Alligator mississippiensis: one gene and its partners. The protein of the gene in region 1 purifies or fractionates together with the protein of each later gene. This does not show direct contact. Links are inferred from orthologs where the notes say so. Each region holds a gene or a part of one and is shown in the gene's direction. Other genes may lie near its edges.

The links.
Region 2: the proteins of IRAK1 (region 1) and PELI2 purify together in Homo sapiens (affinity purification with western blotting; 7 studies listed by BioGRID and IntAct, with this or other methods). This does not show direct contact. The link is inferred for Alligator mississippiensis from reciprocal best matches to the Homo sapiens genes IRAK1 and PELI2.
Region 3: the proteins of IRAK1 (region 1) and TOLLIP purify together in Homo sapiens (affinity purification with western blotting; 11 studies listed by BioGRID and IntAct, with this or other methods). This does not show direct contact. The link is inferred for Alligator mississippiensis from reciprocal best matches to the Homo sapiens genes IRAK1 and TOLLIP.

The regions. Positions count from the first base shown.
Region 1 is NC_081831.1:28,782,993-28,792,675, forward strand, and holds the start of IRAK1 (interleukin-1 receptor-associated kinase 1), read left to right. Parts: upstream 1-5,304; 5' UTR 5,305-5,395; coding exon 5,396-5,510; intron 5,511-6,496; coding exon 6,497-6,664; intron 6,665-7,073; coding exon 7,074-7,241; intron 7,242-7,318; coding exon 7,319-7,428; intron 7,429-7,803; coding exon 7,804-7,971; intron 7,972-8,293; coding exon 8,294-8,358; intron 8,359-8,521; coding exon 8,522-8,636; intron 8,637-8,827; coding exon 8,828-8,943; intron 8,944-9,085; coding exon 9,086-9,290; intron 9,291-9,683. Other genes in the region: MECP2 (methyl-CpG-binding protein 2), read left to right, coding at 1-460.
Region 2 is NC_081825.1:293,732,212-293,742,164, forward strand, and holds the start of PELI2 (E3 ubiquitin-protein ligase pellino homolog 2), read left to right. Parts: upstream 1-6,319; 5' UTR 6,320-6,405; coding exon 6,406-6,482; intron 6,483-9,953. UniProt on the Homo sapiens protein: E3 ubiquitin ligase catalyzing the covalent attachment of ubiquitin moieties onto substrate proteins. Involved in the TLR and IL-1 signaling pathways via interaction with the complex containing IRAK kinases and TRAF6.
Region 3 is NC_081825.1:186,446,489-186,456,367, reverse strand, and holds the start of TOLLIP (toll-interacting protein), read left to right. Parts: upstream 1-5,521; 5' UTR 5,522-5,629; coding exon 5,630-5,662; intron 5,663-9,879. UniProt on the Homo sapiens protein: Component of the signaling pathway of IL-1 and Toll-like receptors. Inhibits cell activation by microbial products. Recruits IRAK1 to the IL-1 receptor complex. Inhibits IRAK1 phosphorylation and kinase activity.

The DNA.
Region 1 (9,683 bases):
ACCCAAGGCCGGGCGCCGCAGCAAGGAGGGCAGCCCCAAGGGGCGGGGGGGAGCCGGGGGCAGTTTACCTGCCAAGAAGGAGCCGCCCCTGCCACCGCTGCTGCAGCCGCCACACCCGGAGCCCCCTGCCAGCCCCCCGGACAGCGTGTGCCCAGCACCTGCGGCCACGCCCGCACCCACACCCACGCCCCAGGACCTGAGCAACCAGGGCTGCGCTGAGGAGGCGGCTGGGGCCCGGGCCTGCCCTGCTGACCCCCCCAAGACTCAGCCGCCTGCCCTAGCCGTCAAGCACCGGGCAGAGGGTGAACGCAAAGACACTGTGTCCTCTTCTTCTTCTTCGTCCTCCTCTTCCTCTTCCACCTCCACGTCGTTGGCCCCCCCGCCCCCCGCTGGCCCTCGGCCCGGTGCCAGGGACGACGCCGTGGACACCAGGACGCCTGTCTCCGAGCGGGTCAGCTGACTCTGAGTGCCAGAGTGTGACGGGGGTGTAACGGGAGGGGGGGTGCAGCAGCACGGACGGACGGACAGATGGATGGCACCCCCTGCCCCTCCCCCCACACCCTCCTCGGGACTCGAGGCAGCTCCGCAGGGCTGGGCCAGGCTGAGCACCCCCCCTCGCCAGCCCATGTGCTCTCCCCCAGCCTACCCTGCCCCCCTCCCCCCACCCTGGTATTTCCTAGCGAAAAGCACAGCGCCCATGGGGGCCGGGAGCCACTTTGCACTTTCCTCCAACTACTGCCCCTCTCCCCACAACGACTGGTGGGCCAGGGGGAGGGGAACGTGTGTACGCTGCACGCCTCTCCGCCCCCAGCAGGCTCCCAGCAGGTAGGAACCGGGGAACCTCCCCTCCAAACTTCGTCCTTGCTGCGGCCCCAGTGCATTGTGGGGAGGGGGGGCACTTCTTCCAGTTCTCGGCAGGCATGGAGTGGGGGGGATTATTTGCACTAACTAGCCAGGTGTGGGGAGGGGCAGGACTTCCTGTCAGGGGTTGTGGGACTGCACCTGCCTAGTGGTCAAGGGTTCAGGGTTTTTGGGGGCCCCCCATGGTTAGGGGGAGTGGTGTGTGGGGGTCATGATTCTTTTAACCCTGAATCCCTTCCCCCTCCGTGGGAGCTGCAGAAGGGGGTGCTGTCCCCATCCCTCTGCCTTTTGTTGGAGGGCTTCCTGGGAGTAACCAGGGATTCCTGGGCTAGGCACAGGGTGAGAGCGGTTGCCAAGGCTGAGGGTCATAGGTAGATCACAGCCTGGGGTTCCCCAGAGGTCAGGATGTGGTTGAAACTGGGCTCGGGGTCAGGTTATAGACAAGCTCTGTCATGGAGTTCACTGGACATAGGCGTGTACGTGGGGTCAGATCACAGACTGCCATGCGGTTCCCTGGATATTGGGGTGCACATAGGGTCACACACAGGCAGATGGGGCCGTGGGGTTCCCTGAGTATCTGGATGCAGGTGGGAGTCACAAGGGGTCAGATCATGGACAGGCTGTGATGTGGGGTTTCTTGGATATTGAGGGTCACATGGGGTCAGATCACAGACAGGTGCAGCTGTGGGGTTTTCTGAATACCAGGGTGCAGGTGAGGTCACACGGGGTCAGGGCATGGACAAGCCATGATGTGGGGTTCTCTGGATGTCAGGGCACACATGGGGTCACATAGAGTTAGATTATGGGCAGGCCTCTCTTTGTTAGGGTGCAGGTGGTCACAATGGGTCAGATCATAGGCTGTAATGTGGGGCTCCCTGGATATTGGGGTGCAGGTGGGGTTGTGGGGTCAGATCATGGCCAAGCTGTTCCAGGGGAGGATATTGGAATGCAGGTGGGGTCACATGGGATCAGATCATGGATAGGCTGCAATCTAGAGTTCCCTGCATGTTAGGGATCATACAGTCAGATCCCAGGCCTCACTGTGGAGTCCTCTGGCTATTGGGGGCCATCATGGCAGGGCTATGAGGGTAACTCCATTTCCAGCTACCCCATCATGGAGCTGTGGCTGGGCACAGGGGGCTACTGTCTTACACTGTGTACTGGGAGACTGACAGCCCAGGGAAGGGAGGAGATAGTCCATCTCTAGGGCGGCCACACCCCAACTGCTCCATCCTGTGAGGCAAAGCTTTGCACTTTAGGGGGCATCTATCAAAGGGGACATGTCCCCCCCCACTCCTCTCAGGGCAGAGCTAGTTAGAAAACTAAGGAATGCTGAGGACTTAACTCCTTCCTGCCTAGCACCTTTCCCACCCAGGGTGATGGAGTGGAGACACTTGGCACCCATTACCTTCATGGTGGGGTGGAGGGGAGTTACCTGACATCCATTACCTTCATGACAGGGGGGATTACTTAGCAGCCATTACCTTTGTGGTGGGGCAGAGGAGAATTGCCCAGCACCCCTTACCTTCATGGCAGATTGGGGAGGGGGAGTTACCTGGCACCCATTACCTTCATGGCAGGGCAGAGGGGAGTTATCCGGCATCTGTTACCTTCATGACTAGGGGGTTACTTGGCACCTGTTACCTTCATAGCAGGGTGGAGGGGAGTTACTCAGCACCCATTACCTTCATGCCGGGTGTGGGGACGGGGCATTATTTGGCATCTGTTACCTACATGGCAGGGCAGCCCTGCCTACCGCTCCATCGCAGTCAACAATAGCAGCCTGGGGGAAGGGGGGGGAGTACCATTCTTCCACACACTGGCCCCAGGTGGCCACTTCTGGGGGGTACTGGGTGGGGGGAATGGGGAAGGCCCCCAGTCCCACTGATGCAATCAAACCCCTCCCCACAACCACCACATTCCCAGCTTCCAAGCCTCGGTATTCATTGTTCGACCAAATATCACCAGGACTGTTATCATCATGCACACAGAGCTCCCTCCCTCCATCGCAACCACGTGCTCCTGTGGGCTCCTCCCCACATTTCGGAGCTGGCCCCTGTGATGGGAGCTGTATACAGCAGGCTTAGCTCCCTCTCTTCTGGTCTACAAGCTCCCTCTCCTCTGGTCTACATATATATTCTGCACTGGTCCCATGTGCAGCTGTCCGGCCCCTCCCACTGCCACGCACACATAGAGGGGGACTCCTAGGCCATGGCTGGGGAGCCATGGCTGTCATCATGGAGAGCTGGGCTTTTGGGGGGCCTGGATGGGGTGGAACCATGCCTGGGTGTAGAGGAGGGGCATCTGCCCTGCTGTGACCCCTAGGGACTGAATTCCAACTTGGGAAGAGACCCCCCACTCTCAGCTAAGGCCTCAGGGGATCCGGATTCCACCCCCCAGGGGGAATGGGGAGATTGCAAGCAGCTGGGGATCCCCCATCCATGCTCATCCACTCCAGTCCCATGTTGGAGTCTGTTGCTGGAAGGGGTCATTCCCTGGGAGGTTGAAGCAGTTTATTAAAGGATGGAATTTGTATCATTTCAGTAAAAAAAAAAGCGACAAAACCCCCCCAAAAAAGATACCAGCGGGGGGGGGGGGGGGAGCAAGGCCTGAGACACCCCCCTTCCCCCGAATGTACCTGTCTGTGTCTGCTCCCCCCCACCCCACCTATTTATTCTGGGAGAGACAGAGAGACACTGGAGACATTTGCCTTAGCCATGTGTGACTGGAAACAGACCCCCTCCCAGCTCAGCACATGCGTGTACATGGCTGTGCATCCCCCTCCAACAAGTGGGGGGGAACGTGTCACCCACATTTCCCCTTATCTTGGGGCCTAGGCGTCACCTTTTTCTTTCTTCCCTCCCCATTTTGGTTCCTTGCCACCTTGAGTTTCTATCCCTCCCCTACCCACCAGAAATTTTGGACCCTGCCCAATTTTTGGACCTCCTTCATTTCTGACCCCCCCCCCCCCATGTAAAATTCGGTCCAGACTCCAAGCGCAAGTAACTCTCTGCATAGGTTATTTCAGTGCTATAATTGCATCTCTTGTTGGTAAGTACTGTATTCTGTGCTAGACTCGAGCTATAAATCTATGTACAATTAACCCACGGATGACTTCCTTGCCTTCATTGCAAAAGACCCCGCCCCCCCATGGGGCTGAGGGGCATCCACTCCCTTCACCATGCTGGAGAAGCTACAGCTAGGGTGGATTTGCTCTCAGCTCACTCTCTGGTGGGATCAAGCCATGGTCCTTGGGCCCCCAGGAGTGGGAATATGTCTAAGCTACTGGGATGCAAGGGAGACTGCAGTTTGCCTCTCCTGCCACACCCTGGATCTCCCCCCTCTGTGGGACACAGAGAGAAGCCAGGGGGCAGCCACGGGCACCCAGCAGTGAGGTCCTGATTGTGAATCCCTTCCCTACTCTATCAGGCCACACTGCTTCGCCAGGGTAGGATAGAACCCAGGTATCCAGGTCCCCCGCCCCTCCCCACTGTAACCCGCAGACCCCCACTTCTCTCTAGAGGTGAAATAGAGCCCAGGTGTCCTGGCTCCCAGATCCCCAGACCCTGCTTCTCTTCAGGGCTAGGATAGAACCCTGATGTCCAGGTTCACAGTTCCTAACCTGCAAGACCCTGCTCCTGTCCTAGATCTTCCATAGAAGCCAGGCCTGAGCTCCTGAGCTCCCAGCTCCCCATTCTAGCCCACCAGGCCCCGCTTCCCCCCAGAACTGTGATAGAACTGGGGTGTCTGGGTACTAACCCTAAGCAGGAAACCACAGCCCGAAGAAGTGGAGAATGGGATCCAGGGGCCACCATGGGGTCGTGTCTGTATTGATGACATAATGCTGCACGTGGGAATGATGTTAGTGCATGAGATCACCTGGGGAGCTGGACTGGGGGCATCCCTCATGATGCCATCATCCTGATGACATCACAGACCCTCACCCATCTATAACCCAAGCTCTACTTAGACTACCCCAGCTGCTGCCCTAGTCATAGCTCCGTCTACAAGCCCCTCCCACCCCAAGCCACGCCCACGCCTACAGGCGACTCCCTTTGCTTTTTGTCGACTGCTCCCTCCCACTCCCAGAGTGCTTTGCGGGAGGAAGACTCTCGCTCATCTCCTTAGAGCAGCCAATGAGGTCCTTTTATGTAATAACGCCCCGCCCCTCAAGCTGCCACTTTGCATATGGCTCTCGGCAGAGGTTTCCTTTCCGCCACACTCAAGATGGCGACGGGGGGGGTCCCTAGGCCAATGCGCTTATAATAGAGGCGGAACTTCCGCCCTTCCTAAACTGGCGTCGCGCCCGGGTTTCTCTCGTTCCGCCACGCCCCGAATGGCACTGCCTTTGCCCTCCACGCTATGTGGGGGCGTGGTGGGACTTAAGATTCACCACACTCAAGATGGCGTCACGAAGCGGGGGTGGGGGGGGGGCCTCTGGAGGCTAGAGCGCATGCACCTGCTGGGCCGTTATGGTCACTCTTAAAGGGGAAGTGATTGGTTTTCTGGGGCGGACCGGGCTGGATCGGGTGGCATGGCCGGATCCGGGCCTGGCACCGGACGGTTCTTGCATGAGCTCCCGGCCTGGCTCATGTGTAGCTTCTGTCGCCTGATGGACGCATTGGGTCGTGCGGACTGGGAACGTTTCGGTAACTGTTGCAAAGTAGGAGGAACTGAGGCATACTGGGAGAGACTGATGGGGACTGGAGTATCCTGGGAGGGACCTGGGAACGACTGGTGAAAACTGGGAGTGACTTGGAGGACTGGGAGTGACTGTAGGAGACTGGTGCATACTGGGAGAGAGACTGACAGTGCCTGTTGGTGGGCTCTGGGACATCCTGGGAGGGGGGCTGGAAGTGGCAGGGGGGGAATGGGGTATACTGAGAAGAGGACTGGGAGCAAGTGGTGAGAACTGGGACTGGAACACACTGGGAAGGCAGTTGGGAGTACCTGCTGGGGACTGGGGCAAACTGGGAGCAGCTGGTGGGGACCAGGAAGGACTGGGATGTACTTGGGAGGAGACTGGGAGTGACTGGTGGCACTGGGGCAAACTAGGAAGGGGAGTAGGTGAGGTGGGGGCATCCTGGGAGGTTACTAGTAGCAACTGTTGGAAACAGAGGACTGCAAAATATTGGGAAGGCAACTGGGAGCAACTGGTGGGGACTGGGGCATACTGGAGGAGAGACTGGGAGTGACTAGCGGGGACTAGGGCACCCTGGATAGGGAATAGGAGTAACTGACGGGGACTGGAACAAACTGGGAGAGAGTTGGAAACTGGGATAGGGGCATGGAACACTGGGGAAACTGGGCCAGTCAGGGATGTCCAGGGAGTTCAGTCACTGGAGCATACTGATATGTACCGGGGAGTCACCATGACATACTAGAGCCTGCTGGGAGGCCTTGTGGTCTCCTGATGCATGCTGGGAGCTAGCTGAGGTCCACTGGGATGGAAGGAGCCTGGAGGGCAGCATTCACTGGCCACTACTGGGACATGCTGGTTTATACTGGGTGGGATATAGGGGAGTCAGTGGCTATACTGGTTTATACTGAGAATGGACTGGTGGGTGGGGGCACTGCTGGGGGAGGCTTGTAGCAGGGGTGGAACCTGAAGCCCCGCACCCTGCCCTGCCCCCAGCTTCCAGAGTGGTGCGGGACCAAGTGGAGCTTCGGCTGGCGGGCACCAGCGAGGGCCGGACACAGCGGGTGCTCTGGAGCTGGGGCCACCGCAATGCCCGTGTGGGCGACCTGCTTGCCTTGCTGGGAGAGCTGGAGTTGGACTGGGCCCATGACCTCATCGCCAGCTGTGAGAGCCCCACTCCACCCAGCCCACTGTGCCCCTCATTACTGACCTTTATCTCCATCCTTATACCCCAGAGGGACCCTTGCTCAGCCTGCAGCTCCCCTGCATGTTGGTGGCCCTCAATCCCAATCCACAGCCTCACTTATGCTCTACAGTGCCGCTCACTTCTGACTTGCAGCCCCCGCCTATATCCCCCAGGGTCCCTGGTGGGCAGAACCCTGGTTGTGGGGGGGGGAGGGGGGGGAAGGAAGAGCTGTGGGGGGTCTCTGGGGGAGAGGGGGGAATTTGGGGGAGTATTAGAGGGTGGGGAGCTGTGGGGGGCTCTGGATTGACAGGAGGAATTGTGGGTAGAGCAAGGGAGTCTCTGTGGGGGCTATGGGAACCTCATCTCTGGTCCATTATTTCTTCCCAGGGCAGCCCCCTCCCGAGCCATGGACACGCCTGCCCCACAGCACCTCCCTGGCCCCTCCCCTGCCATCTGTGCCTCTGCCATCCGTGCCCCCTGCCCCCTGCAGTACTGCTCGGACCCTTCCCTGGGACCCGCCAAAGGCTCTGCCCGTGCCAGTCCCACCCCTTCCAGGTAACTGCCTCTCAGAGTTTGGGGGAGGGTGGGGGTCACCCCCTGCCCCCTCAGTGACTTCCTGCCCTGCCCCCCAGAGCCATCCTGCCTCTCGTTGCCCCTCCCTGGCCCCCCACCCCGCAGCCTCCTCAGCACCAGCAGCCATGACACCGTGACCTCTCCTGACCCTGTGACTCTTCTCAGCCAGGTAAGGGGGAGGGGCTAACTAGGGGTGTGGGGGGATGGCCCTTGGGTTCTTCAGGAAAGGTGGGGATGAGGGTGCTGTACCCAGAATGCCTTGCTCTCTGGCTCAGGAGGGCTGTTCCCGAATCCTTTGTGCTCTCAGACCCTGGGTTCCTGACCCAGAATTCTGGGGAGGGGGTGGGGGTGGGGCATAGCAGTTATAACCATAATCCTTTGCTGTCCTGCTCTGGGTCTATTACCCAGAGTCCTTTGGGGTGGGTCCTACCCATAATCCTTTGGGTAAATGGAGTCTGGGACAGGGGAGAAAGTTCTTTGCTGCCCTATTCCCCAGAATGCTGTGCTGCAGTGAAGGGAGTGGGCTATGTGTTTGTGCCGCCAGGTCCTGCCACCCCCAGGGTTCCCACGTCTCCTGGCATGGCCCCTGGCAGAGTTGGTGGAGGCCACGGGCGGTTTCTCAGAGCAGCACAAGGTGGGCGAAGGTGGCTTTGGTTGTGTCTACCGTGCCCGGCTGCGGCACACGGATTGTGCTGTCAAGCGCCTCAAGGAGGTGAGGGGGGGCTTCCCGGTATGCTTTGCGCTGTCCCATCTTCTACCTTCTCCCCAATCCATAGGCCCCTTCCAGGCATCCTTTGCGTTGCCTGCTTCTCTCTCTTGTGTCCTCTCCCCAGCATCCTTTGCACTCTCTAGTCCTTGACCTTCCTCTCTGCCCACTATAGGCCCTTTTTTCAGCATCCTTTGCACCAGCCATTATCTTTCCCTGAATCCTTTGCATCTTCTGCTCTTCCTCCTCCTCCCCCCCCCCCCAGCCCTTTGTAGTGCCAAGTCAGGGTGACCCCTGTTCTCTCACTAACTTCCCCCCTGCCCTCCAGGATGCAGAGCTGAACTGGAACCTTGTCCATAACAGTTTCATCACAGAGCTGGAGAAGCTCTCGCGGTGAGGGGGGCTGTAGGTTGGGAGTAAGGGGCACTGCAGAGCTATGATAGGGGTAGGGGGGACTGGGAGTTGGGGGTGAGGGGCACCGTGGGGCTATGTTTGGGGGGGGGAAGGGGGTCAGGAATAAGACGCACCACTGGGCTAATGCCAGGGCCCCTCCCAGGTACCGGCACCCGAATATTGTGGAACTGGCTGGGTTCTGTGCTGAGAAGGGCCACTTCTGCCTTGTCTACGTCTTCATGCCCAACGGGTCCTTGGATGACCGGCTACGCCCACAGGTAGCCCCCACTGTGGGGGTTAGGAGTGAGAAGCCCCTTGGGGCTGTTGGCGGGGGGAGAGCTTCAGGTTGGGAGTGAGGGGCACTGGGGAGGTATGTGGGACTGAGTCCTGGCTGGAGTGGGTGTGGAAGGGGCAGCTGCTGGTGCCACCCCCACCCAAATCCTCCCCTCTTCTGTGCCCCCCTGCCCAGGATGGGCGTCCTCCACTGACGTGGCCTCAGCGCCTGTCAGTACTGGTGGGGGCTGCCCGGGCCATCCAGTTCCTCCATCAGGACGTGCCCAGTCTCATCCATGGGGATGTCAAGAGGTGAGTGCTGCAGGTCAGGAGTGAGGGGCATTGGGGGGGGGCGGGGTTAGGAATGAGGAACATAGTGGGGCTAGAGGGGCCCTGGGTCCCGGGGGCGGGGGCATATCCTTGGACTGTGTCTCACCCATTTTCTTCCCTCCAGCTCAAACATCTTGCTGGACCAGGCACTGACCCCCCGGCTGAGTGACTTCGGGCTGGCACGGGTGGGAGTGGGGGGAGGCCGGGGGGGCCGCAGTGGGACCCTGGGCCGTACGGGCACAGTGCGGGGGACCCTGGCCTACCTGCCCCCCGAGTACGTGCAGACTGGTGCACTCTCCCCTGCCATTGACACCTACAGCTTTGGTGTGGTGAGGCCCCTCCACCCCCACCCCCAGCATGCCCCTGCCTCAGGCCCATTCCCTAGAGCCTTTTGAGGGAGCATCGTACCCACAATCCTCTGTTCCTCTCTGAGATGCCATTACACAGATTGCCTTGGGGATGTCATACCCACAATCCCTTGTTCTCTTCCCCCATACTTCATTAACCAGACTGTTTTTTGAGTGGGTCCTACCTGCAATCCTTCAGTCCCCTGCTCCAAACCTCACTACCCAGAGTACCTTTGGGATGGTTCTACCCACAATCTTTTTGCTGTATTGCTCCAAATTCCATTACCCAGAGTGCCTTTAGGGTGGGTCCTATGCACAAGACTAATCTTCCTTGCCCGAAACCCTGTTACTCAGAGTCCTTTGGAGAACTACCCA
Region 2 (9,953 bases), on another chromosome or scaffold:
AGCAGAGCATGGAGAATACATTGCATTGCCTTTCGGGGTAGGTGCCGCAGGCCCATCCGCCTGTGCTGCCTGGTGGCTTCCAGGACATCCTAGATTGGCCAGCCAGGATCTCTTCTTGGGATTTTGGCTGTGTTTCGGCCCCCTGAAGCTCAGTGACATGCCGCTGAAATAAGTCATTTTCTTGAATCTGACACAGATACAGTTCCTTCCTAAACTCTGGCATGAGATGGCCACAGAGGGGTAGAGTTTTGCTGGGCTCTTCCTTCCACTCCACTTCCAGCAGTTACACCCATTGTCCCCTTTATTTAACTCCAGCAGACACAAGCTTGAGGAACAAGGATTCACCTTTCCATTAACCAGTTCTTTGGACTAGTGATTCCCAACCAGAGTGCCTTGAACTTCTTTTGAGGGGTGCCACGTGAGGTTCTTAGATCAGCCATGCCCGGGTTGATCAGAGCACTGAGAAGCTGTTTTAACCTGATCTAGAGTACCATGGAGTGCCTTGAGGTCCTTCCAAGGGTGGTAAGGGGTGCCACACAATATACCACACAACGTTAGGTGTGCAAATATGAGTCATAGGTTAACCCTGGAGATTTCAAATGGGAATTCATTGTGCCCAAAGTATTCTGCTCTGTTGTGATCTTTCTGAGCTGTCTGCAACCGAAGAATTTCCAGTATTTTTTCTGTTGTCAAAAAAACAAGCGAAAACTAAGAGCTGGTATTTTCTGAGGGGGGCCTTGAGTCTAAGAAGGTTGAGGAACACTACTCTAGATAATCCACCAAAGAGCTACTGGTGACACCCTTATTAGACATCCTGTATAGGAAGTGCGTATCTCCTTGGTTTTCTACCCACTCATCTGTAAGCTGGGGGTGCCATATATGGTGCCATCTTTCCCAAAATTTGCAGCAAGGAAAGCGTTAAAAGATGTTCCCATTCATTTTGAGATGTCAAAAGATCTGTTCGTTCTAAAGGGACTAGCTCCCACTCCCAAAGAACTGGAGGGACATTTTCCTAGTGACTTGAATGCAAGTAGGACTGGGCTGAATTATTTGGGGCATTTCTTGGAAGTAAATTTAATTTGGATGAGGTTACATGAAAGAGCAGTTCATACAAATTCTTGTTCACATTTGAGGGAAGCTTGAAGAAGCAGCAGCCGCTAATGCATTTGATTTTTCACATTGGTTTTTAAAATGTATTTGTTTCCTCTGGCAGTGACTCACTGCACAGCTTTCTTTTCTGTTGTGTCAGGGCAATAAAGAAGATAAATCTGCAATAATTCAGCTCCATGTCTTTAATAAAATCTTGTCATTTCCTCAGAGCCTTTAGGAAAATCCCAGTTCTGCAGCATTTCAAGATTGGTTGGATTTTCCATTTCTCCTTATCACCAGACATGGCAGAAAAAAAAGTAATTGCCAGGGAAATTAATGGCTAAATATAATTGCACTGAAGGAAAATAAAATGTTCCAGTAAGAGAACCAGGACACAATTAACAATGAATGCATTAGAGTTCAATGTATTCTAAGGTCTTAATCCTGGAAGGAGCACTTGGAGGGGCCGGCACCTGCCAACCTCACTGCTGAATCAAGGCCAGAACCGCAGAATGCGCAGATGCAATATATAGTGACTTTTGTACGTTCGCTGTGGCATGGAAGTCTCAATATTGAGTAAATGAAACTTTCCAATGGAGTCTCACTAATTTCTAGCTCACCTGGGCTGATTTTGAGCTGTTGGTAAGCATCAAGCAAAAAGAAAAGGAGAAAAAAAAGGGCTGAAATCTAGAGAAATCTGCCAGGTGAATTCGGTACTGTAAGAGATTCAGGTTCTGGAGTTGTGAAATGTAGCGGCTGGGTTTTTCCCCCCACACCTGTTTCTGTTTTGGTGTTTCACAGCTACTTTCCTGGAAAGGTCCCTGTGAATCTGTTATGCAGCTACACACTGCGTGGATGCTTGCACACTAGATAACTGGCCACACACCCCGACGTTGGTGGGGACATGCCACTGTTATTACTCAATATTTATTTGTATTACCATTGCACCTGGGAACCTTGGTCATAGACTGGGACCCATTGTGTTAGGAGTGGTGCAAGCAGAGAATGAATAACACAGTTCTGGCTTCAAAGAAAAGGGAAAAAACAGGAGCCAGCATGTGGATACATAGAGAAGGGAGAGTGCAAGGGAGCGCGGGGACAATAGTGATCAGTGTGATAATAAGCTGTGCAATAGGCAGCTGTGTTTGCTGAGTGGGACTGGCTGAAAATCCAAGTCTGTGGGCACGGTGCTTGTATGGTGCAGGAAGACAAAGGTGGTTTTCTGCTTCTAGGCTTTCCTGTTTTTGGATCTGGCTGGGCCCTTGATACTAGCCAGTGCAGATTCAGCGTTGCTGGACGTCCACTGGCTGATGACTGCTCCAATGGAGCCAGGACAGCAACTGAGGTTTGCTGCCACATGCCAGTGCTCAGCCATGCCCTCTCCCCTCTTGACCACATATCCAACAGGCTCCCAGCACAATGGGCATCTTGACACATGCCGAGGCACCTCTGTATGCCCCACAGTAATGCAAAAGGACCCATGATCTGGCACTGTACATTTCATTCATACTTTCTAATAACCTACTATGCTAGGATTGCCCGACTCCTTCACCCTGGTTTTCAGTATTTCCAACCATCCCTCTTGAAGTCTTCTACCCAGGATTACACGCCGTGTTTTGGAAATAACACGCACAAACTACATTGCATTCACAAAGCTCCCGCCTCTGTATCTGAAAGGAAAGGGACAGCACTCTCATTCTGTTTGGCAGCTCATTAATAATCTGATCAACGGCTTTAATGCAGGACTTTCTTTTTAAAGTTTTTGAAAGGCTGCAAAAGTCCAGCTCCCAGAAGAGAGAGACCTCAGAAGCTCAGTGTAGTTGTAAAGCTTGGAAAGATAAAACAGAGCATAAATGTCTGCAGAGTGGAAACATGGACTTTTAAACAGCGTTCTTTAAATTTCTCATAATTTTTTTTAATAGCCTAAGACAAGAACTGCCTGAAGAACAAAAGCACAGGGTAATGTTAAGCCTTGGAAGATGAAACAAAGCGCGAGCGGCTGGCAAGGTGGACATTCCCATTTCTTTCTAAATTGCTGAAAAATAAAATAGTATTTACTTCCTATCAGCTGTGATATTGAAGCCAGTTGACTGCTCAGGGGCAAAATCTCACAGGCAGCCAAGCTAGAATTTAGAAACCCTCCAAGGGCAACACCCATGGGTCTAGTCATTAATTGAGCATTCAGTAAGTGCCCAGACTGTTGTGCATTATTCAGCATTGTACTGGCAGTGCCTGAGTATGCTGGATATTAGCTTGACTGCCTCCCTGACATAATATCATTATTGCCATCCATTTGCATACATATGAGGGGAGTGGGGCAGGTTGGTAAAGAGGCAGTTTTAAAAGAAAGTTTTCTTTGCCCATCAAACATGATGACAGTGTCGACGATGTCTGTGGTCCTGGCTGTCCCCATAATATAATAGGTTTGTCCTTACGAAGGGGAGGGGTGATGGATGGAGCAGGTGTATTTTAATGTTAATCATGAGTGCTGCCGGCACCACTCACATTCGGAGGTTTCTCTGCATGTCTCTTTTTTGGCTCCTCCTAAATATGACTTGGATTAAAGGTGGCTTGTTTTACAAGTAAATTTTCCCTCTTCTACCTTTGCTTACAATCAGCCTCACTAGCTAGCAAAGAACTTGATACATCTAGAAAAAATACATTAGACATGTCTATGCTAATTCCCCCACATTAAACCCATCCTGATTGTGCTTGGGGTGGAGAGGGGGGTGGGGAAGGGCCTGATCTGAATGTTGTGGTTTAGACTGATCTATCAAAACCACGAATAAATCAAACTTTGGTGCTAATGCTGTCCGGCTGCCTAATTCCCAGTGAAAACATTCTTCGGTCCTCCCAACAGTCTCGTACAGATGTGCGTATCTTTGCTAACTTGGAGCTTTCAGCAGAGCCTCATTCTGCATCATTTTCTTGTTCATTTTTGCCGCTCACTGTGCTGCCGCTCCTGCTACAATTGGGATACAGCGCAGGGCATTACCACTATGACTCTCAGCATCACCACGGACGATTATTGAACCATTGTGAATTGCACCAATAGCTTGCAGTCACGACTGGGGTCAGGGGAGCTCAAAGAGCAGCAATCTGGTGCCCTCTCCCTTGTGCCCGACCTGCCTTCCCACACCTTATCTTAAATACTTGGCTCGTCCCAGGTCCCTTTACTACCTGTCAGCTAAATTGCTGAGAGCTGTTGTGAGCAATGATTTCTGATCTCGATTCAATGTGTGCAAAATTTCCCAAATCTCCAGCCTGCCATGGTGCTTGAGATTTCAGAAGCTCGGGGCATGCACAAAGTGCCTTCAGACCCCGCAGGATCAGGTCTCATCGGTTGATATTTTCTACTGTGCACTGAGATGGTAGAAAATTGGTATTTCCAGAGTGGGGACATGGGAGTGGGGGTGGCAGCCCTTCCTGGCAGTGAGTCTTACACCTTTCCCAAGAGCCACTTTGCCTGATCTGCTCTGCTTTTTGTTTCCTGTCTTGTGCCCCCTACTTTATTTCCTGCTCAACTTTCTGCTTCCTGCCCTAACTGCTACTCCCCAATCTGTCCCCTCCCTGATCCGTGGAGTGCCGCGCAGAGAGGCTGCCCAGGCTGCTCATGGCACAGGGTGGCCACCCGGGCCCCAGAGCAGGCTGGCAATCTAAAACCTCTTGCTCAAGTCGCCAGTGCCAGCAGGGTTGAATTTTGGCTGTGGATTGTTTTGTGCCTGAAACAGAATTCCCTAATCTGGGCGCTTGGACTTGCACCCAAATCCACTGCTTTGGGTGGCTGCAGCCGTCGTCTCGCACTCCTAACCTGGAGAGGTTGTTGCTCGTATGGACCCCCGCGCTGGCTGCTGGAGCAACGCTGTGGCTGCTGTAGAAGGCAGAGGGCTCCTGGGGGGAAATCTAGAACACATCCACTCCGAGGACAGGGAGCAGCGGTCTGCAGCCCGTTTCCAACACTGATGTGGTCGTTGCTGGAGTACGACATACTGAACCCCTAAACTACATCCACTTTAAGAGGCCCTGTACAATAAAAATAATCCATAAAATCTACAAAAATGGATTTTCCTGAAATTTTAAGGTGAATTATTATTTCTGCACAAATTTATGAACTCAATATGAATAACTGTGGAGCCATATGTATGTATATTTTTTGTCATATTAGAATGAAAATGCCCAGGTTTTTTGTTCTTATTTAGAGGCCCCTCATATGGTGAGGCTCTAAACTGGTAGTTTAAGTAGCTTAAACCTAAACCTGGCACCAGACACGATTACCGGAGAGCTAGGAGCCTCGCTGCAACCTGGGGTACGGACACGCCGCCCTGAACACCCTTTCCTGGCGGGGCTCAGGACGGATCTGGAGCTCTGGCTTGAGGATGGGGCAGAAAGCACAACGGTCTCCCGTGCCAGTTGAAGCGGCTGATCTAGAACTGGGGTCCAGCCAAGTGTGAAGACGCTGCCCTGAAACATGGGGGGGGGGGGGGAGTGTGGGTGCTACCTGCTCTGACACAGGGCAGAGGGACACGCATCTGGAGCAGCGTTCTGGAGCCAAGCGGAAGATGCCGATCTAGAACAGGGGGAGGGGCTGGTCACTGAGGCTCCATCTCTGGTTCACGAAAAAAGCAGGGTGGATCCAGAACATCATGCCAAGAAAGGATGGAGAAGCCCCTGCGGCAGAACCCTGCACCCATGCTCTAGAACCCTGCACCCATGCTCTAGAACCCCTTGCCCCTGGGCCAGGGTCCAGAGCAGGCCCCTAGAGCTCAAGCCGTGCGGTGGATCTAGAACCCCAGGGCACAGATTTGGGAGGAGGGGGTGAGAGCAGCCCCGTGACGTCACTGCGGCCCTAGAACGCGGGCTGGCGAGCTAGAACCGCCGCCGTCCTATCCCAGGCCGCTGGGGTGGGGGTAGGGGGGAGAGCGGGGGTGACCCGCAGTGGTACGGTCCTCCCCGAGGGGGGGCGCTGCTCTCAGCTGAGCGGCCCCTTTAAGACCCGCCGGGCGCCGTACTCTATGTTTACATAACAGAGCGGGCCGCACCACAGCCGGCCCAGCGGGGGGGGGGGGGGAAACGTGAGGCGGTGCAGCCAGGAGGCGGCTTCGAGCGGTTCGCGGAGGCGGGGCGCGCCTGGGTCCCGCCCCCGCCCTCGGCACCTCCCCCCCGGGGCGAGGTGGTACGTCCCCGCCCCCCGGCCCCCCCCCCCCGCTCGGCGGCAGTGGCGGCGGCGGCGGCGCGGGCAGCGCGGAGCGCGGCGGCGGCGGCCCCGGTCGGTCCCGGGTCCGGGTCCGGGTCCCAGTCCCGGCCCAGCGCGGCCCCATGTTTTCGCCGAGCCAGGAGGAGCACTGCGCGCCCAACAAGGAGCCTGTCAAGTACGGCGAGCTCGTCGTGCTCGGGTGAGCCCGCCCGCCCGCCCGAGACTGGCTGGGTCTCGAGGGGACCGCAGCGGTCTACGAGACTGTAGGGTCTGGGTCTGTCAGGGGACTGTAGGGACCTGGACCTTTCAGGCGCTGGCTCTTTACAGGTCTGTAAGGGTCTGGGTCTGCAGGGACCGCACCGCAGAGGTCTGGGTCTATAGGGGTCTATAGAGGTCTAGGTGTATGGGGGTGTGCAGAGGCTGCAGGGGTCTGGGCGTACGGGGGCTGGGTCCGGCTGGGCCGGGGAGCCGGGGCGCAGGAGCGTCGCTGCAGCCCCCGGCGGGGAATGCGGCTCCGGCTGATGTGCAGGTTCGGTGGCCGTGACACCCCCCCCCCACCCCCCAAACCTTTTGTTTCAACAAAAATAACTTGGCGGTGGGTGCTGTGCGGCGGGGCCGGGGAGGCCGGGGTGCGTTGCGCTGCGCTTTGCAGGGCGAGGGGAAGGGAAGGGAAGGGAAGGGAAGGGAAGGGAAGGGGGGCTGCGGAGCAGGTCGCTCCCCGCTCCGGCTGGGCTTGAATTAGGTTGCATAAATCCGTGTTGTGTTGCGGATGCGCGTGGCGTTGTTGTTGTTCTGCGCGCAGCTGGAAGTGCCGTCGCTTTTCAGTCGCTTCTTCAATTTTAGCTGGATTTTGAAAGGACGTGACTGGCAAACAGCTCTGGCTCGGGTCGTGACCGCGGAGGTTGTGCCCGATTTCCCTCCCCCCCCCCACACCCTCCCTCCCCGGGGCCCAAACGCGGTGACTTTTCTTGATTCCTCCGGGCCGAGGACCTCGCTCTTCCCCGGAGCGCAGGTCTGTGCGGTAACTGGAAACTGTAGAAATGAATTTCAATCCACTTGGAGACTTGTTTTGTTTTGTTTTGTTTGAATAGGTTGTCATGCACTTTTCTCAGCTTGCCAAATCGACTGTGGCGTCGCAAACAACTGATGATTTATCAGACTTTTTACAGTCATTTTTTTTCCTGAGATGCGGGGTAGTGCATAAAGGACAACACTTAAAGTTATCAGAGGCCTGATGATGTAACAAGACGTGGAAGAAAACTTCTTAACTTATCAGAGCCTCAGCTCCGTCTCGTTCGGCATATTTAGTTTCCTCTTTGTGTGATTGCAGCAGGCTCGGTAAACTAAACTGCACTTGGGCAGCTGGGAGTGCAAGGGTAGGACAATACCAGAAAAAATGCTCTGGTGTTTACATTTCCATTCGGGCCAAACCTGATCTTATGGTCATAGGTGCAGCTCTGCTTTCCCACCCTCCTTTTAAAAAACAAAACAAAATCTTAATTTCCTGCCCAAACTGCGAATGCTCAGTCGCTGCATCTAGTGCCATAAATAGCACAAAGCAGCATTGAATCACTGCTAGAAACTCTCAGAACAGCTTGAGCATCTGCTCGGAGTTCTAAAAATGTAATCCAGAGTCGGCTTGGCATCTTCTTGTTACCTTTGCACGAAAGCAAAGAAGGGGGGGACCTGCTTCTCCAAAATGAAGCTTCAAACTGAAAAAGTCTCATAATGTCTCTTATGACGGTTATGACAAGCGATAAAAATGACCTGACAGCTCAAATTAGAGAGAGGATTTAATTCTTTTGGTTAGAGGATTGCCTGCCTAGTTTAAATGGTGATGTGCGTTGGCCAATTAACTTTCCTCAATCTTGAGGTCTGTAAGACTAGTTTAATTTAGATGATTATAAGCTGATTTTGTGCATTGAAACCAGCTTATTTTGTAAACCAGTTTCTTAAGTAAAGCATTTTCCCCTTTACCACTCTTCTCTTTTTTCTTTAGTAGTTGGGTGTGTGCCATACCAGAGTTAAAACTTAACAATAGAAGAAAACCCTTCTAATGGGAAAACTATGCTTATTGCCAGAAGATGAATATGTTCATCTAAGAGACTGTCTAGCAATAGTTGTGATTGCTCGTCTGCATGTTAATGCGATAGCAGGGGAAAGCCTAAAGCATTGCGAGTCAGTCACCACTGCAAATACATTTTTAATGTCCTTTTCCCAGTAGTCCATCATGTATTCTGGGTGTACGTGTGTGTAAGTGATGTGACAGTTCGCATTTGGTCAAGATTTTTTTCCCTAGTCTTACAAGACCAATATTGCAGTGAATAAAAACACATTTATGCAAACTAGACCAGACAGGTCATAATAGCTAGCAAAGAAAAGAGATAATCTGCTTGATTGTGAATGGCCTCCTGTAGCGTTGTCTGGTCCCCAGAGTTTCGGGCTTCCTTTCCAGTGCAGGAAACACATTATACCTTTCTCTTGGAGTTCATTTGAAGTAAGCTGCTGTCTCTCCCAATTAATAGACCATTGTTGGAAAAATAGTTGCTGCGAAGGACTAAATGCAAAGAGGAATGATAGGTGAATAGAAAATGAGGCCAATTTAACTGTAATTGTAACTTAATTGGGTAAATAATATATTTCTCTGTTTGATATTTTGGGTATTATTTGCCTTGCATGCCAAAACAAATGGTGATAATTGTAAATAAATATGTTGGGGGGGAAGCAAAACAGAGTCCCCAAGAGCATTGTGCTATGTACTGCTTAGTTTTGAATTGCATTGCATAGACCAGTGGTTTTCAACCTGTGGTCTGCGGATCCCAGGGGGACAGCAGACTATGTCTAAGGGGTCCATGAAAGATGACTATCATCAATCAAAAGTATGTGAATACCCGTGCTTACAATTCAAAGGAACCTACCTCCATTCAAAATGTTGTAGGGGTCCACAAATGAAAATAAAGGTTGAAAATCACTAGTATAAACCAAACCCAGTGTAAGTGCTGCCCAGTATGCTCTTTATTGTCCTTTGTGTATTCGTACTCAACCTTTGCTATTTTCTAGGCATTTTTTTTTACTTAAGGTAGAGGTTCCCACGCTTTTTCCTACTGCGTACCCCCTTCCAGATTTACCAGCTGCCTGAGTACCCCTCCCAGCCTATGTCTTGTATTTTAACTCCTTAAATGCCCATTATTATTATAATGAAAATTAAATCCACCATTACACTATTTCTCCCACGTACCCTGCAGAGATGGCTTGCATACCACAGTTTGGGAACCCTTGACTTGAGGGAACCAGGCTGCTGCCAGTATTCTTAAATCATCTTCCCTCTGTGGGGGCTTCTTCAACATAAATATTCCTTCCCGGTGCTGAATATGATGCTGCTGACCAGTTTTGAGTTTCTCAAATAATTTACTGCCAATTAAAGTATCGTAAATTTAGGAGGGAGAATGGCTGAGAAGCTTGACTTTTTAGCCAGTGGCTCTGTGCCGTATAATAACTTTCTTTTTTGGGGCCTGCTGTAAGACCTGTTGAAATCAAAGGATTTTGGATTAGACCCCTTGTAGGCCAGTTAAGTCCTATAAATTACTGGCTCAAAGACTCTGACCTGTAGCCAGGGCCTGTGTATTATATGACAACTGGAAACAAATCTGTACAATTTAGTGGTTAGTGA
Region 3 (9,879 bases), on another chromosome or scaffold:
TATAAAATTTAAAATAACTGCTGCTCTCTCTAGCAATCCTCTCCAGTAGGATGTGATTATAATGGGGTTTTCTTGCAATGTGAGACTTTACAGCTCACTTATTCAAATGGGCTCACATCCCCTGGTATGTGAAATTCCTATCTTTATCACTGTTACTATTTTAATGAGCTGATTTTTTGCATTATTTGGTTGAAAAGTATTAAATGAGCTATTAAGCACACAAATATTTAATCTTTTCCTTTACCTCCTTGACCACAAAAGAGTAGTGAATATATGAATAACCTAGATCAGTACTGTTAGAAATGACACTAAACTATATTAGGACATCAATTAACTCTAGAAAGTAAATACATTTAAAAATTAACTCCTATTTAAGTAATATATGAAGTTTTCTTTTTCATACTAATTTTGCTTTCTCAAAGGCATGGTAAATTCACATGCAAGTGTGCACAAATGCACACTTTGTTAGTTATTTCTCAAGCTATTCACAGCATGTGAAGTGCACACATGAAGTGGCCAAAAAGGAGCAAAGGACTGTGTGTTCTGAATTCCAGCAAACATATCACACCAGTGGGGCAGTGATTTCAGTTAACTTGCAAGTCACATAATTGATTAGATTGATTTACAGTAGCATACATGAAATCAAAATCTGAGCCCTTGAACTCTGAGTTTGCTCATTGTCACATTGTACAAAGACTGAGAGAGATAACACTGAAAATAAAAACATAGGGATTTACTCTTACCCAGCCCAAAATTACTTCCTCATCTGCTGACGTTGAGAAACTCTCCCACCAAGGTCACTCCTTATCTACACTGATACATTTTTCTCAGCAGTCTGTGTCTAAGGAATAGTAACTTAATGATTATGGAAAACAGTCCTTCCCAGTGGTGGGCCCACATCTCTTCCTACATAAAAACTACATACAGGAATTAGCTTCCTAGGAATGAGATCAGTGGTCTTGCCAGTCACCCAGGGAAGCATCAGTAAGTAGATATCACCTGAAGCAGGTTCTCTCTGCGTGAAATCCACAATGAAGCTACCAGCCACAGAGACAAACATAAACTCAATGGCCACAATTACATAGAATCATCAGTCAGTAGGGGTCTCAGAGACTAAATTTGAGGGAGCTGTTACCAGAAATTAACGATCAAGGAAGCTTGCTAGGGAGTCTGTGCTGGGTCAGCCGCACTATTTAATGTTGTTCGGCCGGTGCAAATCAGTCAGAAGCCTTGTTTAAATGGCTACTAGAAGATATCACTTGTGTGGGGCTCTATAGAAAATCCTATATACATGGCATGTAGCCAGAGGAAAGGGGGTGCTGCCTATATGTAGTAATACTATGATGATCCCCAACTCCACATACAGCCTAGCTGGCGTAATGTACTGATTGAGTGTATATTGATCACAAGATCACAAGGGATTGCAAAACTTTCTTGGTACAGACCCCACTGGTGTTCTACCAGTCCATTTACTGGACAGCATCCTTGGGCCAAATACACCTTTGAGGTAAGTCAGTGGGGCTGAACCTTCCAGCTCTGTGGGCCAAATGAGTGGTGTGAAGCTGGATCCCTCACATGGGATTGGTTTATGGTGTATCCAGTGTGGGGTCAACACAGTCTGTGGGTACAATCCAGTGAGCTGGCCCAACCCTGAACACAGCCCAATATCATGAGCTGGATCCAGCTGCTGAGTGACACCCCCATGCCAGCAGGTCTGACACATGCCAGCATGATCTAGTAGATAAGGCCATGTCATCTGCCCCATGGGGCTTGCCATGTGTTCAGAAATTGGGCAGCATGGGAGGGATAATTAATGCTGTAATCCCCCCGCCCCCAATTTCTGGACTTGGGGGGATACTCGTGGGCCAGATGACATGGCCTCACAAGGTGGATCTGGCCCACAGACCAGAGATTGAGCACCGTTGATGTAAGCTGAGTGAATTGTGTCAGGGGTGAATTTGGTCTTTTTTGTTAAATTTAATTGATGTATTTTCTGGCTTGCTTTCTTTGCCAGTGGCAAGCAGATAGCTAAGCCTTTTACTTTTGTTCCATGATAATGTTCAGTGCTGTTTGTTGATGATAAATGCTTTAAGGTTCCTGAACAGGCAAAAGGAAAGGTCTGTTTTGCTTCATTTATAGTCCTATAGTTTGAAATGAATTCTAGTTCCATCAGAAGAGCAATTTATAAATATACCAGGGAACATAACAGCCTCTATCCTCAGCTAGCTGTTCAGCTTGCATCTGGTATCAACTGTATTATCTGATCAAGGCCTCCCTATCAATTATATCAAATAATGTCCATTTTTAGAGCTAGCAAGACAAAAGCAAAAGATGCTTTTTCCTTCTCCATACATATGTTATGGTAGCATGAAAAAGATCTGTTATATATTTGGAATGCTCTTAATTGTACTGTTCTATTTCCAGCTGTTGGAATCTGCACTAGAATTTTAATTAATGACTAAATTTATGCAGCAAATCCGAACAGGAAACAGTTATGCTATTTAAATAGGTTTTGAAATTCTCAGATTTTATCTCCCAGAACAGCACTCAGATGAATATTAGAGCTGCTTTTGTTCTTCTGAAAAGACTGGAATTGCACAACAAGCTGGAGGAGATATGACTCCTGGCATGAGGGCACAGGTGGTTTCCTCATCAAGGGCCAAATCACACACGCCTGCAGAATCATAGAATCATGGAGCTGGAAGAGACCTCTAAGGTCATCTAGAAAACCAAAGCAAGGGGAACTCTGTGCCTTTTTTCCTCACTGATGTTTCTGTCATTGGGTGGGTGAGAATCTGCTGAATGGGCAGGAAATTTGAATGCTGGAACCTGTGGGTCCTCTGAGATCTAAATGGATTTTAGGGGACTTGCTGTAGAAGTCTGTGTAGCAGTCTTATTCTTCCACTTGGTCTCCTGTTGCTTTTACTCATTCTTCTGTCCGGACAGATCCAATTAGGCTATGATGAAGTAACTGGGTGCTTAAGTGCTCTTGGCAGCAGCTGTGCATGGGGCAGTGTCAGTGGTTGTGCTGCTGACAGCATGCCAGTGGCAGTGCCAACAGCACAGATGCTGCTCTTTTTGTGCTACCCACCCAGGGTTGCTGCCTCAGACTGGTGCCTCAATCTTCTTCTCTTCATTATTCTTCTGCCATGATGACACGGACTGCACCATTTGCTACTACCCTACTTCCACCCCTAGAAGGATTCATTTTTGTTAGGAAGAAAGTCTGCTCAGGAACAATAATGATTTTGTGTGGGCAAAACAAGCAAAGCAAGGTTTAAGTTCAACATGAAAGTGATATGGCTAAACTTCATGTTGTCATGCTATATAACATTGGCATTTCACTGCAACTGTGTGGTGCTGTTTCACTGCTGTTGTGGAATCACAGCGTACTGATATTTCAGTACAATGCAAGAATGATTATCCCATCACTGTGCCACCTTATGATGTCATTTCAGTGCAACTTCTCAGATATTTCACTAAACAATTGTGGTTCCCCTTCCATCTCCTTCAGCATACTGTATAATGCTGTATTCTGATGGCAATATTTACTTTGTTCCACTTCCATCTTGTAACACTGCATCACAGTGGATGCATCTATGTGAGATGCTGACTGCGCAGTAGCCTCAGCCTGATAACTACTGCGCAGTAGCATTGCGTGGCAAAAAATGTGATGCGACACTACTGTGCAGTAGTATTAGGCTACTGTGCAATAGTGTCACCAAAAAGGCATTTGCCGGTGCTACTGCGTAGTAACTCAGGTTACTATGCATTTATTTAATACTTGTTTATACGAGTTTATATTTATACAAGTACTAAATAAATGTGCAGTAACGACTGTGCAGTAGCATCTCATGTAGACGCGGCCAGTAAGTTCTGGGCATGAGGAAGTGGTAATAGTGAGGTATCTTCCACCACTGGCACCCTGCTACATGATATTTCAGCCCCACACGTACAATTTTCCTGTGCAACACCATGGTGCTGGTGCATGGAAACAATGATCCACTGCAGCACAGTTACATTTTAGTACAAGGCAAAGGAATGTATCTGCCACACTGACATACTAACTTCATAGTGACATTTTCATGAAACATGAGGATGATCCTACATTGTCAAATTATTATGTTTTGGGCACAGCAAAGATGATAGAGATGATGTTTTGGTGCTATGTCATCACTTTCTCACAGTGATATTTCTGTGCAAGGTGACAACAGTAATGTTTTACCCCATATTGCCATGTCACATCCTAGTGGGTTACAGCACCCTGCTTTACTACTGTATCACAGGAGCAGTTTGGCTCTAATGCTGCCTTGGGTCTGGACAGTGATAACTCAGTAATGGGCAGTCCAACTCAGTGCAGCAGGTTTACTGTGGTCTACTGGTGTCCATCCATGTGGGTCTTCTGTGTAGGGCTTTTTTGGAGCAGGGTGGAAGTACCTCAACGGGCATCTTGGAATAGGACAGTGGTGTCTGACTAACTAGGGTGCAGAAGCATTTCAGGACTGGGCACTAGAGTCTTGTCATTTGGCAGGAAAATCCCTCATTTGGCACAGTGACTATTCTGGCGTGAGGCAGATCAGCTCTCATTTTGGGACAGAGGCTTCACAGCACAAGAGAGCGGTGTACAGTATTATCTTGGTGGCTATCTAGTTATGGGGAGTGTCTTCAGACCCTACAGTGATCTCTTGTGCAGGGTAAGATTGTCTCCCACCAGCGCCAGGGCACCTTGGATATGGTCCTTTTGGTGTGGTACAGTGACAGCTCACCCTGGGATATACTAGGGCAACCATGTCACATGGCAGGCCTTTCTCTGGAGTTTCTGTGCGATGGTACCTCGGCAATTGCCTCTAGGGCTGGGGCCAGTGGCCATTTTGGTACGGATGGCGCAGCCTGCATGAAGGCGGCCATGGCCGTGGTGCTGCAGCCTGGAACGTGCCTCAGTGTGATGCATCTGAGTGTGTGGGTAGTGACTGTATTAGTATAGGGGCCATTTTGGTGGCAGGCGCTACCATATGTGTAGGGGTCAAAGTCCCAGGCATGGGGACAGCTGTTTTGAGGGAAAGCCTTGTGTTGTGGGGCAGAGGTGAGGCACTGCAGCACTCCCAGGCACCCTGAACCCCACCCTTTGGTAGTGATCCATCCACACCAAGGGCAGAGTGAGAAAGGTCTCCAGTACCAGTATTGCACATGCGTGCTGCCTCTTCGCGCATGCGCAACACAGCTTCTTGAGACCGATTTCTCAGGAGAGCGCTGTCCCATAACAGCCTCTTGCGCAGGCGCCAATTCCCATCAGCGAGACTAACTCACAGCTTCCGAGGTGGGGGGGCAGTAAGAGAGCACGAGTGTCGTAGCGCGCATGCGCCACGTTCTCACCACGGGCGCCCCGCCCGTCCCCTCCAGCGCATGCGCGGAGGCCACGCCGCCACTGCGAGGGCGTCAGACGGGGCAGGAGGAGAAGTCAACTCACAAGCTAACCACCCGTTGCATCACGCATGCGCAGCGGCGAATAACGGGGCGGGGTGGGGCGGGGCGCGTCAGCTGACTCCGGAGCTCGGCGTTCGGAGGCTGTTAACGGTAGCGGCGGCCTGGCCGGGCGGAAGGCGGAGGTTCCTGGTCCGAGTGAGGCGCTATGGCGACCACTGTCAGCACCCAGCGGGGCCCGGTGAGTGTCGGCCGGCAGCGGGCAACTGGGCCCCCCCAGTCTCGGCCCCGCGGGGGGGGGAGGCCCTGAGGATTTCCCGCTGTGTGTGCGCATGCGTGGTTTCCCCTCCCCCCCCTTTTTGGGGCCTCCCTTGCCCCACGTGCTGGGGGAGGGGGACTCTGGGTCGGGACTGGCCGTCGATGTTTGTAAACGGGTCCTGGTACAAAAAAGGCTGAGAACCACCGGGATCGAGGACGACTTACCCTCCCAGGAGCCTGTGCTGGCGGCACACAGGGGTGTCCCACTCGGCCCTGGCTGCTAGGACCACCCTCTGCTAGGTGACGTTGTTCGAGATGTGACAGGGGGCGGGTGGCACCATTGGAGTGTGATCCTGCTTTGGGCAGGGGGTTGGAGTGGGCCTCCTGAGGTCCCTTGCAGCCCTGGGCTTCTGATTCTACCATGGATCGAGTGGGGCTGCATTGAGACACCAAGTGTTCAAGCGCAAGAGCACTTCTTCCGGTCTCACCAGTCATTCATTTGATCTGCCCAGAGACACCCTGCCCCCAAAATCCAGTTTCTTGGACATTGCGACAGCATCATTCCAGTGTTACCACAGACACAGACGTGTGATGAAACCCTGCTTTACTCTTCTGTTCCAGTTCTCTCGTCCTTGCCTGCGTCTGGGGGCAGTCTGAATTTTGTGTTAGTACGTCTATTTACAATTGAACCCTGGTCTTCAGGTATTTATAGGGAACAAAATGGCTAGGCTGAGCAAACTAGCGGACTTATGTAGTGATGCTGAGAGGCAAGAAGACTAGGTTGTTTGTTACACTGGCCTTATCTGATGATGATGGAAGTGTGTTAGTGATCTCGTTTCCTGCGGTTTCCCCTTTGTGTTAGCTCTTTAAGAATATGTTTCTCTTTACAAATGGATTTTGTTAACTTTCGTTGCTAGGCCCTAAAGCCTTTATATGGAGGGAGGCCTTTTGTCATTTTCTTTGGCTGGGCGCCTGCCTGCAACCTTTCGCTTCTGGACTTTCCTCTCCACTAACCCCAAAAGGGCTCTTGCTTCAAATCCGTGACCGCATATATAAAACGGTTTCCTTTCTACTGGAGAAGAGCAGCCTTTCAAGACTATGTATATCCCCTTTCCTGATAGTCTTTCCACAGAAAAACTAATGCAGTTTCTATATTCCTTCCTTGTGACATGGAGGGCAAACAGCATCTTCCAAAACTGTAATGTCAGTAAGTAGACACTAAAGGGGGCTAACAGGCTAAATACAAGGTCCTGTCTAATGCTCTAATGCTGCAGAGAGTGTTACCTCTTTATCCTTCTAGCTTGCTCAAACTGGAAGCTTTCCAAGGTTGTCTTGGACGTGGGTGTCTGGGAGTACATGACAGAATGCCACCAGACTTATTTTTATGCCTACACTTTCTGATCTGTAGTTCTCATTTATATGTACATGGCAAACATTCCTAATTGCAGCTTATTTTTTCAGATGTATTAAAAGTGAAATTCCTTCTGCCCTCTTCTGATAAATGTTCAGGTGAAATATAAAGAATGTATGTATGGCAGAATATATAATGGCTGCTGTATTTCATTATGTAATTTGCAATATCTGGTACTTTTATAAAAAAAAAAAATGACTAGTGTTACTGGGGGGGGGGAATGGGGGAAATTTCTGTTTCTAAACTTATGAGATTAAAATACGCAGTTTGATTCCTTAGTTTGGTTCTCTCTGCATTCAGGACTGGAAGGGACCACAGGGTGCTCTGGGAGTTGAGGGGTGATGGGGGCTGTAGTTAAAGTGCCCCTGTTGCCATTTTTCAGCACAAGGACGTTGATCCACATGATGCTCATTTCTGCTGGAGAGCGGTAATTGCCATGTTCTAGCAGACTCAATTAATTGAGTCTGCTCCGACACACTGTAATTAGAGCATGTCCGAGCAGCCTCCCTGCATGTATATAGGCACAGAGAGACTAGTCTCTGTTATTGTTGGTAACTGTGATACAAACTGATAAAGAACCTTGGAACCTTGCTCTCCTGGTAAGACAGAAATTGGTTTCTGACTAAACTTTAAACCTGTTTGTACTTGTGTCAATATTGTCATTTAGCCTGACTGATCTTTTCACATCCCTCTGGTGTCCATCCTGATACATTTTCATCTTGCTAGGCTAAATAACCAACCTTTTTTAGTCTCCCTTCCAAAGATAAGATATTGGGAGAAAAAGGAGAGCCAAGTAGCCCTTCTCTGTACCTGCTTCTTTTTGAATTTATCTTTCTTGAATATGGAAGGCAAAGCAATCAATTTTGTTTATACTAACACCATACCTTGATGATGGGATACTAGGTCTCTAGGCCAGTTCTGACACACATCTGTCACTAAAGATGCACTGATCCTTTTTCACACAATTTATTTTACTAATCTTAATTTTTCCAAGTAAAAAACATATGTTGTAAAACTGCTATTTATGTATTACTTATTTGGCATTAAAAACAGTTTTATTTGTTTTCTGTTCTAGAGTGAACACGAACTCACTTTTGACACTTTTACCTAGTGCCTAATAACGTTTCATAAGATAAGACTGTTACATTTCTGCTAACCCAGAGCTAGTGAAAGGAATTGCAGTAAGTAACCACTGCTTCAAACAAGGCAAACTTGCTCTGCCTCAATTTAGGGGTTAGGAGGGAACAGATGAAACTATTGTGATGCTGCTCAATCTGGTATCAGTCCTCTCTTCAACCCTCCTATCCACTTCCATGCCAGCTTTTAAGTGGGGTAACTGTGTCATCTTTTCTGTCTCTAACTTGAAATGTTAATTATTTAGACATGGTTCTCAATCAGGGTGCTGGGAGACCCCATTAGGTGTGTTGTGATACAGTCTAGCCCCCTCTGCCATTTTCAGAAAAGTGGTGAAGGGGTGACATGACTCCAAAAAGGTCGAGAACCACTCATTCAGACTGCATGGCTACTAAATAGGATGCTCTGGTTTGGAAGCATTGGAGAGAGCATGTTCAAAAGGTAGCATGGTGTATGTGTGGTTCCCCTCTCCCCCTTGATTCTGTTTCTACTTACGGATCTATCAAGGGGATGCCGAATGCCTGTGTAATATGTATAACAGTTCATATACTGGACCTTCCGTCTGAGGGATTCATATATACTGTATGATGGACAGCTCATGTACCTCATCACTTTCATCCTCCATAAAATAGAGAAAATCTTTATCTTGTGGAGTGTTAGATGGTTAATATTTCTAAATCAAAGTGGAACGTAAGCATTCTGATGTCTCGAGCATGAACCACTAACTATGGTTCTTTCCTACATCATATCTGAAGAGACTCTAATTCTGACTTTAACCAGTTGTTATGCTTCTTAATTACAAAGGTGCAGGTGGGTGGGTTTGTTTTTGTTTTTCCAAAAACAAAATAATCTGGTTTTGATGGTGAACGGATTAATGAATTAAATGGTGAAGAACAGATTTCTTTTTGTAAATAGCAAGAGTGGTGATATCAAGATAAGCTTATTTTTCTTATCTGTAGACAAAAAGCCTTGACAATCTAGTTGATCTCTGATTTAGCTATTGAGAAATTCAGCTCAGTTAGTCAGTAAAAGGAGAAAAAGGTTGGGCAAAATGTTTTCAAGCTATAATCCCTCTTCAATAAAATATACTGAAGGCGTTTCTACAGCTTTTATTTCTGCTGAGTCTTTCATGTTGCCATTTTTTGCATCAGACATCAACACTTCAGAGTCAAGATTGGCAAAATGCTATTTCTCCTTGTTTTGGGAGTTTGGGAAGGGAATGGTTTAAGTTTGCCCTTCTCTTAGCTCTGTAGAAAACATGTAGGTCTGTCCACACTACAGCCCAATGATGGATTTGCAGTTCATTATGGGATACAGGAGCAAACTTTAAGCCACTTGATTTAGATTGATAACAAGGTAACTAGCAGTAGCATCAGACTCTGTTTGGGCCAGCTGTCTGAATATAGGTGGATGGGTGGGTAGGTTTAACCCATGATGATTGAACCCCAAACTACTGCCTGCTATAATGCTGTTGATACATCGGATTATCTAGTTTAAAGCTCTCTTGAATGTGTGCGCTCAAGTGGTTGCATCTTTTGGACTGCTGTTTAGATGTGACATGATTGCTCTGCATGAGTTATTTCTGGAGGAGTGTTGGTGCTTATTGTTTACAAAACCCCCAGTTAAACTAAGGTAATGTATTAGGTTTTCTGGCA